Lepisosteus oculatus: one gene and its partners. The protein of the gene in region 2 purifies or fractionates together with the protein of the main gene of each other region. This does not show direct contact. Links are inferred from orthologs where the notes say so. Each region holds a gene or a part of one and is shown on either strand. Other genes may lie near its edges. The genes, in order: clp1, tsen2 and tsen34.

What was found.
Region 1: the proteins of tsen2 (region 2) and clp1 purify together in Homo sapiens (affinity purification with mass spectrometry; 3 studies listed by BioGRID and IntAct, counting the BioPlex papers as one, with this or other methods). This does not show direct contact. The link is inferred for Lepisosteus oculatus from reciprocal best matches to the Homo sapiens genes TSEN2 and CLP1.
Region 3: the proteins of tsen2 (region 2) and tsen34 purify together in Homo sapiens (affinity purification with mass spectrometry; 3 studies listed by BioGRID and IntAct, counting the BioPlex papers as one, with this or other methods). This does not show direct contact. The link is inferred for Lepisosteus oculatus from reciprocal best matches to the Homo sapiens genes TSEN2 and TSEN34.

The regions. Positions count from the first base shown.
Region 1 is NC_090701.1:41,819,969-41,823,715, forward strand, and holds the start of clp1 (polyribonucleotide 5'-hydroxyl-kinase Clp1), read right to left. Parts: upstream 2,660-3,747; 5' UTR 2,560-2,659; coding exon 2,559-2,559; intron 683-2,558; coding exon 435-682; intron 1-434. UniProt on the Homo sapiens protein: Polynucleotide kinase that can phosphorylate the 5'-hydroxyl groups of double-stranded RNA (dsRNA), single-stranded RNA (ssRNA), double-stranded DNA (dsDNA) and double-stranded DNA:RNA hybrids. dsRNA is phosphorylated more efficiently than dsDNA, and the RNA component of a DNA:RNA hybrid is phosphorylated more efficiently than the DNA component.
Region 2 is NC_090699.1:62,258,990-62,262,736, reverse strand, and holds the start of tsen2 (tRNA-splicing endonuclease subunit Sen2), read right to left. Parts: upstream 2,768-3,747; 5' UTR 2,581-2,767; intron 2,144-2,580; 5' UTR 2,077-2,143; intron 1,044-2,076; exon of another isoform or gene 904-1,043; intron 401-903; 5' UTR 355-400; coding exon 166-354; intron 87-165; coding exon 20-86; intron 1-19.
Region 3 is NC_090708.1:2,598,939-2,602,685, reverse strand, and holds the start of tsen34 (tRNA-splicing endonuclease subunit Sen34), read right to left. Parts: upstream 2,968-3,747; coding exon 2,605-2,967; exon of another isoform or gene 1,697-2,604; coding exon 1,561-1,696; exon of another isoform or gene 962-1,560; coding exon 683-961; exon of another isoform or gene 357-682; coding exon 169-356; 3' UTR 1-168. UniProt on the Homo sapiens protein: Constitutes one of the two catalytic subunit of the tRNA-splicing endonuclease complex, a complex responsible for identification and cleavage of the splice sites in pre-tRNA. It cleaves pre-tRNA at the 5'- and 3'-splice sites to release the intron.

The DNA of each region.
Region 1 (3,747 bases), on a different chromosome or scaffold from region 2:
CTGCTGTAGACACAGCGCCCCCTCCAGGACTGGACACCCTGCTGTAGACACAGCGCCCCCTCCAGGACTGGACACCCTGCTGTAGACACAGCGCCCCCTCCAGGACTGGACACCCTGCTGTAGACACAGCGCCCCCTACAGGACTGGGACTGGACACCCTGCTGTAGACACAGCGCCCCCTCCAGGACTGCACACCCTGCTGTAGACACAGCACCCCCTCCAGGACCAGGACTGGACACCCTGCTGTAGACACAGTGCCCCCTCCAGGACTGGACACCCTGCTGTAGACACAGCACCCCCTCCAGGACCAGGACTGGACACCCTGCTGTAGACACAGCGCCCCCTCCAGGACCAGGACTGGACACCCTGCTGTAAATGGGCTCCTGAGGGCCTTTCAGTATCAGCCCAGACAACCGCAGAACAGGCTGGTGTACCTCAGTCTTGCCAGTGAGGCTGACGGTGCAGCCCTGCCAGGTGAACACTGCGATCTTGGAGCCGGGCCCAAAGCTGTACTTCTTGTTGCGGTTCAGTTCTGACCCAAACACCTCAGCCAGACCAGAAAGCAGCTCCATCTGCACCCGCTCTCCGGACTCCACCTCGAACCGCAGCTCCGTCTCTCGCTCCAACTCGAAGCGCACACCAGTACTCTCATCACTGCCCCGCTCCCCTTCTGCGGTCATCACTGAGGGAGAGAGAGAGACTGACTGTTCACTCCAGGACATTAACACTGCACTGAGAGAGAGGGGTTAATACAGTCCAGACACACTGACTGGACACTCCAGGACATTAACACTGCACTGAGAGAGAGGGGTTAATACAGTCCAGACACACTGACTGGACACTACAGGACATTAACACTGCACTGAGAGAGAGGGGTTAATACAGTCCAGACACACTGACTGGACACTACAGGACATTAACACTGCACTGGGAGAGAGGGGTTAATACAGTCCAGACACACTGACTGGACACTACAGGACATTAACACTGCATTGAGAGAGAGGGGTTAATACAGTCCAGACACACTGACTGGACACTACAGGACATTAACACTGCAATGAGAGAGAGGGGTTAATACAGTCCAGACACACTGACTGGACACTACAGGACATTAACACTGCACTGAGAGAGAGGGGTTAATACAGTCCAGACACACTGACTGGACACTTCAGTACATTAACACTGCACTGAGAGAGAGGGGTTAATACAGTCCAGACACACTGACTGGACACTCCAGTACATTAACACTGCACTGAGAGAGAGGGGTTAATACAGTCCAGACACACTGACTGGACACTCCAGTACATTAACACTGCACTGAGAGAGAGGGGTTAATACAGTCCAGACACACTGACTGGACACTTCAGTACATTAACACTGCACTGAGAGAGAGGGGTTAATACAGTCCAGACACACTGACTGGACACTACAGGACATTAACACTGCACTGAGAGAGAGGGGTTAATACAGTCCAGACACACTGACTGGACACTACAGGACATTAACACTGCACTGAGAGAGAGGGGTTAATACAGTCCAGACACACTGACTGGACACTACAGGACATTAACACTGCACTGAGAGAGAGGGGTTAATACAGTCCAGACACACTGACTGGACACTACAGGACATTAACACTGCACTGGGAGAGAGGGGTTAATACAGTCCAGACACACTGACTGGACACTACAGGACATTAACACTGCACTGGGAGAGAGGGGTTAATACAGTCCAGACACACTGACTGGACACTTCAGTACATTAACACTGCACTGAGAGAGAGGGGTTAATACAGTACAGACACTGGACAGAGACAGACCTGAAGAAGGCGTGACACCCATAATGTTATTTTTTCAACTGTTCAGAGTGAAACTAACCTCTAGTTTTAACTTTGTAGCCAAGATTTGATCCTGCTCAATAAACATCAGTGAATGCAGATTCTCCAAGGGTGTTGTTACACGTATACGAGTAACTGATACGTGTTTTTGAGTTCAACTAGACACTTCGCGTTCTGTCTCCGTCCGCTCACGTCAATGTACGTGGCTCATACAACTTACTGCAGCAATAAACCCATTCACAAGAAAACATTCCTATAAGTCACGGAAAGACCTCGTCTTTTCACTTTATGTAACTGCAGTTCCGTTCACAAAAACAAGGTACAGAGCGAGTGTAAATATTTTTTATACAGATCCTCGTCCCCGGCTCCTCTACAGCCACCTATGACTGGAGTAGGAAATACTTATGGTTCCAGCGCAGGCGACAAGAATCAAATATCTGGCTGCTTAGTTCTACATGATATCGACCAAGACACTATTCCATAATTTACAAGCGAAAGGTCATCTTTGGTATGCCTAAAAACTCTGGATTTCTCAATTAAAGATAATCAAAATGTAACTTGAGTTCAGTAAAGACAGGTCACGATTAAACGCAGCGTTTATCTAGTCAACATTTTAATAATTTCTATGACTTGAATGATACTTGACAGGAAAGCAAGATAAAAAACCTGTATAACAATCATCTGAAAAGTACTTATAAAATATCAATAAATCAAATCTTACTTCATGAATTTGCCGTTAGCGCCCCACGCCGCTGTTTAAAAACAACCGAAGAGCACCTCGAGCCACCTTCTGCAGCACGTTCCGTCGCATGATGATGACGACACACACAAAGACCAACCAGTGTTCAGAGGCTGCTGCAGGTTGGTGTTGAATTTAGAAAGTGGATTTGAGTGTTCATGCTAGTCAGGCGTGCTAAATCTTTCTTGTGTACTACAATTTTGATAACCTTAAATAAATAAATGTTGAGTTAATGTTGGTAACCTCTTCATAAGGAGTAGTAAACACAAGTATGCTGAGGTTGCGAAGTAATGAAATAGAAAAACTTCTCTACATTACACTAAGTACAGTGTTCTGAGATCTGTACTTTACATAAATATTTAACTTTCAAGTTACTTTAACGTTTAATTGAGAAAAACGGTTTAGAAAAGGCGGTACTCTACTACATTTCCCAGAAGGCTCTCCGTAACTCGTTCAATCTGTTTGGATGACGTTGCCACGGGCTCCAATTCTGATTGGGCGAACAAGAGACAGAAGTGCATGCGCAAACGCTTTGTTTGCTTTCAGGACGCCCAACCGCGTATCGTGGTGTTTTTGAAAACAGCCGCTCAGCAAGCGGGAATGCAGCAATGGTGCACACGTGTGTCTTGCAGTGATTAGTTCTGTGTATATGTATGCAAGTTATATCGAAGGCGGCAGTGAGCGGCATCGGTCACCCTTGGCCTTACCTCAGAGATCTTTTTCAATGCCTTTGTTTACCACTCAGACTGCGAAAAACACGCAGCCGGAATGGCTGCTGCTAGCTGTGCCAGCTGGACTCTCAAACCCGAGAGGATCAAGCTGACCACTGAGGTCAGTGGCCCCCTGGTAGAGGCCCTTTTATGAGACCAGCAGCAGGCGTTTGTTCTTGAAGATGAGCAAAATGTTCATACATAAACATTTTTATGATTGGTCAGTAACAGTTTGTTAGAATATAAGGTATAAACAGGGACGTGGGCGAATAACCCAGACCCCTGTTCCCTTTCATGTTATTAACCCCAGTGTAGCACAGACGAGTTACACCTCCACTCAGGAGAGCTTGGGGAAAGCTAGGCCAGCTGGACATGCACAGAACAGTGAAACAGGTCTTGAGGGCTTAACTGCTAACTCATAGGTTTGGGGTCCTGCCCTGGATCACAGGAGAGCTCAAGGT
Region 2 (3,747 bases):
TCCCCAGAACAAAACTTACTCTGCCACTTGTCTGAAATGTTGTACTCGGGTCTGCTCCTTGATAAGATACCTTTCCCAAAATAACCCTACAAAAACAAGCAGGAAACCATTTTTAGAAACCAATCGGATGAAAAAGTAATCAGAGAATATAAACATCGTACACACCTTTCCATATAAGGCTTGTATATCCTCGGGATCTCTCACAAGGACATGCTGGTTTACAATCTCAGCTCTGTAGATCCTGCATTCCTTATTTTGTCCTTTGTCTGCAGAAACTGTCACAGGGAATGGACCCGCATAGGACTCGTAAACCCTGGCTCGTCGTTTAGGCGCCTGAAAGACGGCTTCTGTCATCTCACAGTGCTTCTTGACTAGAGACCTAGTTCAATTCCCTTGCAGACTGATGTAGGATAACAGGAAATTAAAAAAGCAAACATTAAAGTGTTGCACAGGTTATTATTTACTTGGTGCTTTCATGATATGGAGAGCTCTAGAACACGTTTTCTTACGATACACATCAAAGGTACTTCCTTCTTATTTGAAAATAGTTGTAAGCTACTGTGTATACTGTACCTCACCAGTACGCAAGAATATCATTTATTTATAAACAGTTTTCACCAAGTTGAAATGATCTCATCAGAAGCAAAGCACAGACATTTCAATGGTTTTAAATGCATTTCTGCGAGTATTCTACTTAAAATATTTTTCCATTTTAAATTTACGATCAAGCTGTGTTCCGCTTACAGCCAGTCATTGTATCCTCGTATCAGATGCAATGAATGAAACTGATAGACATCCGTAATAAGCAAAACATAACTGACTTTGTTCCTTGTACTAATACAAAAACACCGAAAACCCAATGCAGCACATTCTTACAGCTTCGTAAAGCTACAGTTCACTTACACGTTTTGTAAGCGGGTCCTCAGAAAAAAATACATACAGTACCAAACGTAACTTACTCTGCTACACACGTGAGAAATATGTGCTACACAACATTGTATCCGATCGGAAACGTGTAGTTCTGTAACTTGGTTCCTTTTTATAAAGCAATTTACTAACAAAAGTTTAAACAAAGGCCAACAATTTTAGCCCTTGGTAAGACAAACAGCAATACATTGGAAATGGGGGCCGTTTTTGGTGATACCTCTAGTCTAGAACACGCATGGTATTCTGATTTCCATTGTTTAAGGGATGCCTAAGTAATTGAAATACGCTACATACGAAGACACTTAAAATGTAGTTGTTAAAATTCACTCAGTATATATAAGCCACATACGTATAAACGAGTAAACTTATTTTATCACAGCTAATGTAAAAAGAAGTTTAAAGCACTTTGATTATTCAACTGAAGATACAGTTGTTACGTGATATATTCCGAAACACTGCGCCGCCTTGTGTTCGAATAAAGATTTATTCTAGAATTGCACAGAAGTATTTTGTAAAATCAGACTGTTTAAAAAAACATCAAATGCGCACGATAAAATAGAGGTTCTGTACAATAATGTACAGCTGTACTATGGTCTGCCTGACGTTTAAAAAAAAGTTTCAAACAAATCGAAAAAACTTCGTTTATATAGATCATATCTTCACATTACATATCTTAAGGAGTCTCATCTCAGTTTACTTAAGACATGGAGACATAAATTAGACTTAAATAATAAAAAAAAACATAATCACTAACACTAGGTTAGGGCACCTTTATAGTTAAATGAAATTATATTTCGAATTTAGCTAATGAGTGACCTGTGTACAGTAGTTTAACTGTTGTTGCAGGCTTTCGTGAGTCACCAAGGTGGGTACTGCAGTAGTTCAGTATGGATGAATTTAAAATACCTTGTGATCATTGGGGAAGAAAACCGCTGTGCAAAATAGGAGGAAATATTTTGTATATGGTTTTACCACTTGAGCGAGGACCATATGGGTAATACACGTTTCCTTTACATGACTTAATTCATAGCGCCTATTGCCTCAGCTTTCAAGAGACCGCCTGTTGATCTTGTGACCTGGGAAGTCGGAAATTGTACCAGACGCTTCGCTGAACGCGTGGTTAACTTTACTGTCGGCAGCCTGTCTCACCTAGCCCTCTGCAGTGAAGTGTTGGCGGTTTGTCAGCAGTGGGCAGATGTGATGGTGACTGGCATCTCTGCTGGTTTGAAAAAATAAAATGCGTTAATGAGCAAGTACAAAGTGTCACTTTCTTTGATAAGTACCGCAAAAGAGAAGGGAAGTTTTGTTTTCCAATAATAGCACCAATGTCTCTCACGTAATAAAAAACCAGACAGTCAAGATGTATATATATTTAAAAGCAAAGGATGTAGATATTCAAATGTAAATGCACTTTAGAAAATCTATTGTTCTTGTTACCTCCCACTATATTATCGACAAGACGCTGTTTTATTTAGTTAGCTGAGGACTCCATTTCCATTTCCATTCTTTTAGAAAGTCCCAATCTTTTTTAAAATGTTTAAAACCTACCTTAAAGTCGACCTCAACCAACTTCAACATTCTTAATTTAAACTCATTGCTAAAACAATCATTTAGGAGGAACAAGGTCTAAACTATTTACGAATGTTCACCCACCGGCTCATTGCGAATGTCTTCGTCTGGTCCTGCCCGCTTGAAACTCCCCGTCGTCCTACTGTAGGTCTGCAGTTCGGATTGATCAATTAACTGTCGATGGATCTCCAATATCAGGCTGCATCAGACCCTGCAGTTTTGCACAGCTGAGCGGTTATACTGTAGCTGCGCTTCAAAAGCAAGGCAAGACTCGGCCAAGCAGCTTAATCGCCTGCCCCGCTCTCGCCTCCCTCTTCGCCTATCCAGGGTCTGCTCTCGGTGTATTTGTCTCACATTTTCCAGCGGTACCATCTATATCTGCTACTGTACATGGTCTCATCTAAAGCACATTTACTATAGACAGGAACTCAATACTGTTTGCTGGAACACAACGTGTAGTCAAACTACGAGGCAGTAATTCACATCGTGTATGTATCATTACATGCTCATCAGGTCCCGCTCGTACCTTTGAGCATGTTCGATGTCAGGTCAATTAACAGAAATGCTAATGTACAAAAAACACATTTATAATTATTTTTTTCAGTACACATTTTTAGGTAGATGTATGCATAGTGTTGTGTATATATCCACAGTTTGTATGTCCTATACCATTTCTTCCTCTTACTTGGGTCATTCTATGTCTGTATGAATATTTTTAAGTGAAAAGACAAGAATTGAAGTGTGCAGTGACCGCAAGTTGTGTTGATCGGTTTGTTTGTCATCACTAAGCCCTGTCTGTGCCCAGCTAGTGTACGAAAGAGCCAAAGAATTTGATTACTCAGCCTCGAAATAAATTGTTGTCTGACCTCCCATTTCACAAGAACAAGTTTATGATTTAAGAAATAGGAACCCCAACTAGAATCCTGCTGGGATATCAGGCTTTCATAACAGCCACAGGGAAAAACAAACAAATCATGGAGCTACCATCAGGCAGTAAACTGTACTAAAAAACAGGTTCCAACATTTCATCTCAGCTCCTCATATGCTCTCGAAGATGAGGAATGCTTTCAAAGAAGGAGTTGTCATTTTGTTATGGCACCCTGCAGTGAATTGTGTATATCTTTTAATAGCAGTGATGTCAATCCAATGATTATATGAACATATTTTGTTTCTATTAGTTACAATAGGATTTTTGGCAATAAAGATTTCGCTCTCGAAAATGCCATTTGAATTTCTTATATTAGGCTTGTT
Region 3 (3,747 bases), on a different chromosome or scaffold from region 2:
CACATCTGTGAGACGGGCACGGGAACGGCGCAGTGCTGGCAGGGAGGAAGGTCATCTGAAAGGCCAGCCTGTGCACACTTTCCAACAGCACCCTCGTCATCGGCGGGACCCCGGGGCGTCCCTCCGCACCCCACAGGAGCCCCCTCCTCCTCACCGCCGCCCCCACGCCTAGACCATGCCGCTCCACTGCAGGGAGGTGTAGACGACCCCCCCGCTCTCGCCCGGGGAGCACAGCAACACGGTCTTCTTGACGTTGGAGCCCAGCCGGGACAGAGCCAGGAGGTCGCTGAGCGGCGTCTCGGCCTCCGGGGGAAGACACACGGCGATGAAGTGAGCGTGGAAGCGCAGGGGGTCCCCTGGAGGAGAGGCGGACAGGCACTCTGAGGCGCGGACACCCCTCTGTGCGCGCGGTCTCGCGTGACGCAGCACAGGAGGGTCCGACCCCGGTCCAGGAGAGCCCCCACCCAACGGGTTTCACAGCTCATCGCGAAATCACCGGCTTCTACAGGCCTGCCACAGGCTAGCCCTGACCAGCCACTTGTTAAATTAAGCAATTTAGAGATCGTTAACGAATCATTTGCCTTCATCGAATACGTTACTTGCTTATTTGATTACTTCCGGGAGTTCCCTAGGAGATCAGTCACTCCAGGACCGGAGTCGGAGGCTCCCGGTGAATACATACCTGGATAGACGAGGTAGTCTCCTCCAAATTTGCCGGCGGGCGTGACGTAGTAGCCCCGCCGCCGCAGGTCCCGGTACACCCGATACCGCGCTTCCGTTCTCTCGTCGCGCGGCTGGGGCCAGTCGGCGGCCATCAGGAGGCGCTCCTCCGGCTCGTACCCGAGTCGCGCCCTGGCGGTGCACAGCTGCACCGCCGTCGCCGCCTCGGGGAACGTGAAGGAGCTCTCCAGGGAGCTCAGCCGATCCCTGAGTGGCAGCTCCGCGCCGGCGGCGCCCCCGTCTGGAAGAGGAAGAAGGGTCAGAGTCCCAGAGGGCCGAGCGAGCGGGCCAGAGAAGGGAAGCCAGCTCCTGCCGCGGTCTGGGCAGCGTGGAGCTCCGCGGGGGCCGAGGAGTCGGCGGAGCTCAGCTGCTGCCCCTGCTGGCACTCGACCACGCCCGCTCGGCCGCACAGCGCCGCCCCCTGGACAGCAGCGAAGGCGCGGGTCCTTTTCTGCCGCGGCACAATTCGACACGGCAGCCGCGAGGAGCGCCGGGAATCGATCGCGGTCAGGAGCGGCGCGAGACTGGGGCCGGCGCACCCAGCAGAGCTGAACACGGCCTGGGCTTCAGACGGACAGTCCCTCCCGTAACCGGCTCAGCGTGCCTATCCCCGTTCGGCGGAGGAGATCGGCACCCCTTCCACAGGCAAGGACGTTCCCCCCCAGCTGCCCGCAGACAGCAAGGCGAAGGAGTCTGGGACGGGGGAGAAAGACAGACTGGCATCTCGGAGCGAGTGTGACATGAACAACCCCTCTGAGCTGGGAGGCTGCCAGGAGAGGTCGGCCAGGCAGCCCCAGCTTCGTACAACCGCTCGGCGTACGCCTCACTGCAGCCCTTTACCCTTCTGTTTCTGGTTCATCACTCTCTGCAACACCTGCTTCCTGTCCTCCAGGGCGATCTTCTTCTGCTCCAGGAAGCTGTGCTGCAGCCTCTCTCGGTATCTCTCCACCTCCTCTGCCCTCACGCCATCTTCAGCCTGGAAGAAAAAAACTTCCTACCTGACGTTCAAACTCAAACTCCGGACCCCCATCTGGAGACTCGGGGGGCACTCGCATGAGGAACTATTCTGAACAAGGTCACAGACTTTCACTTATTTCAGACAAAGTCAATACAGACAAAGACTTCAATAGCAAGAGAGGCAGGGGGTGAGGCAGCCAAATCCAGTTATTAATAATAATCCTTAGACTTATGTAGCGCTTCTCTGGACACTCCACTCAAAGAGCTTTACAAGTAATGGGGATCCCCTCCACTACCACCAGTGTGCAGCCCCACCTGGATGATGCTCCAGTCCTCTCCCCACACACCAGCTCTCAGTGGGGAGGAGAGCAGAGCGATGAAGCCCGTTCAGCCAGTTCTTAAGAGGAAGCCAGTTATTAAGAGGCCAATGACTGGTAAAGGCCAGGTGAAAATTTGGCCAGGACACTGGGGTTACACCCCTACTCTTTTCAAGAAACTCCCTGGGATTTTTAAAGACCACAGAGAGTCAGGACCTCGGCTTTACGTCTCATCCGAAGGACGAGGGGCATTAGGACCCACACAGACTGCAGGGTGAGCGCCCCCTGCTGGTCCCACTAACACCTCTTCCAGCAGCAGCCTCAGCTTTCCCAGGAGGTCTCCCATCCAGGTACTGACCAGGCTCACACCTGCTGGGCTCCAGTGGACTGCCAGCTGGGAGTTAATTTACAGCCAGTTTATATATCAGTGTACCCCATGTACAAACTGGCTATAAATCATTATATAAACATTCTTCTCGTGCTAGAAGAGCCAAGATGAATTAAACCAGATCTTCCCCGTCACTTGGTCACCTATCAAGCTGACACAGCCAGAGCCTCTCACCGCGGGGTGTCGGGAAACGGAGGCAGGAAAACCCAGGACGGCGCTCACCTCCGGCGGAGCTGCGGTGACCAGCACGGCGCGGCCTGTGTCCCTCAGCAGGCGGGCCTCCTCCGGCAGCAGCTGGGCCGGCCGGCCCAAGCGGAGGTTCTGGCGGGGCTGGCGGGCCAGGGATCCGATGAGCGTGCCCACCACCCCCGCCCGCTCCCGGGCCCCCCGGACGTCGGCTGCCCTCCACAGCAGAGGAGTGGAGCCGCAGAGATAGACCTGGGCTGCCGCAGTTCCCGTCTCCAAACCGGGCTCAACCGGAAGCCTCTCCTCTTCGGACCCGGGTTCGGCTGGCTGTTTGCATCTCCCGTCCCCCCTAGTCTCTGGCTCACTTTCAAACCCCGTCTCTCCTGGGTGTGCGGCCATGGGGTACACAGCTATATTATTTCATCTGTTCCTCTGAAACTTTTTCTCCCGTTTCCTAGCTCCGTTTATCTCCGACCAGCAGCCTTCACGGAGCGTGCATAACTCATCAAGCAGCGGGTTTTCCCTGCTATGTGCCTTCGGACTTGAAACTCAGTCTGCAAATCTGCAACCCTTCCTCGCTCGAGTCCGACAGTGCAATGGAAATCTTGAAGAGACACGTTGATATTATAATCTTAATCAGAATATTTAATAAAATAACCCTGCTGTACTGTGGTGTCTAGTACTTGTTACTTTGTTATGCAATATTCAACTTGGACAGTTCTTAATTTAACGCACGCGTTGTATTTGAGTGTAAATAACTTGCAATCCGGAGCATCTATCTAAACAGACAGCTCTCCACGTGCACATTACGCTTTCCCTAGAAATACTGGATCTCAAACTGAGGTTAAGCTGCTTAAGCAGAAGTGGAACATAAGCTCTAATGCAAAACCCTAGCTGTTATCTCTATTTAACGGCGAGAGCACGAAACCTCTAACTGGTTTTGCTCACCCGGTCGGAGGAACACGACTCGATCCCATTTCAACTCTAATATGGCAGCCTTCGGTCGTCTCCGGAAGGGCTCGGGCGTTTCCGGCGACCTGGGGGCGGTTCCCATGGACGCGGTGACGTCAGTCAACATGGCGGCCTCCTCGGCTGGGTCTGATCAACTCTTTTCTTAATGTTTTCTTAATAAAGAGGTAAGTTGTATCTTTAAGGAACAGGTAAAGGTTTATTCTAGGA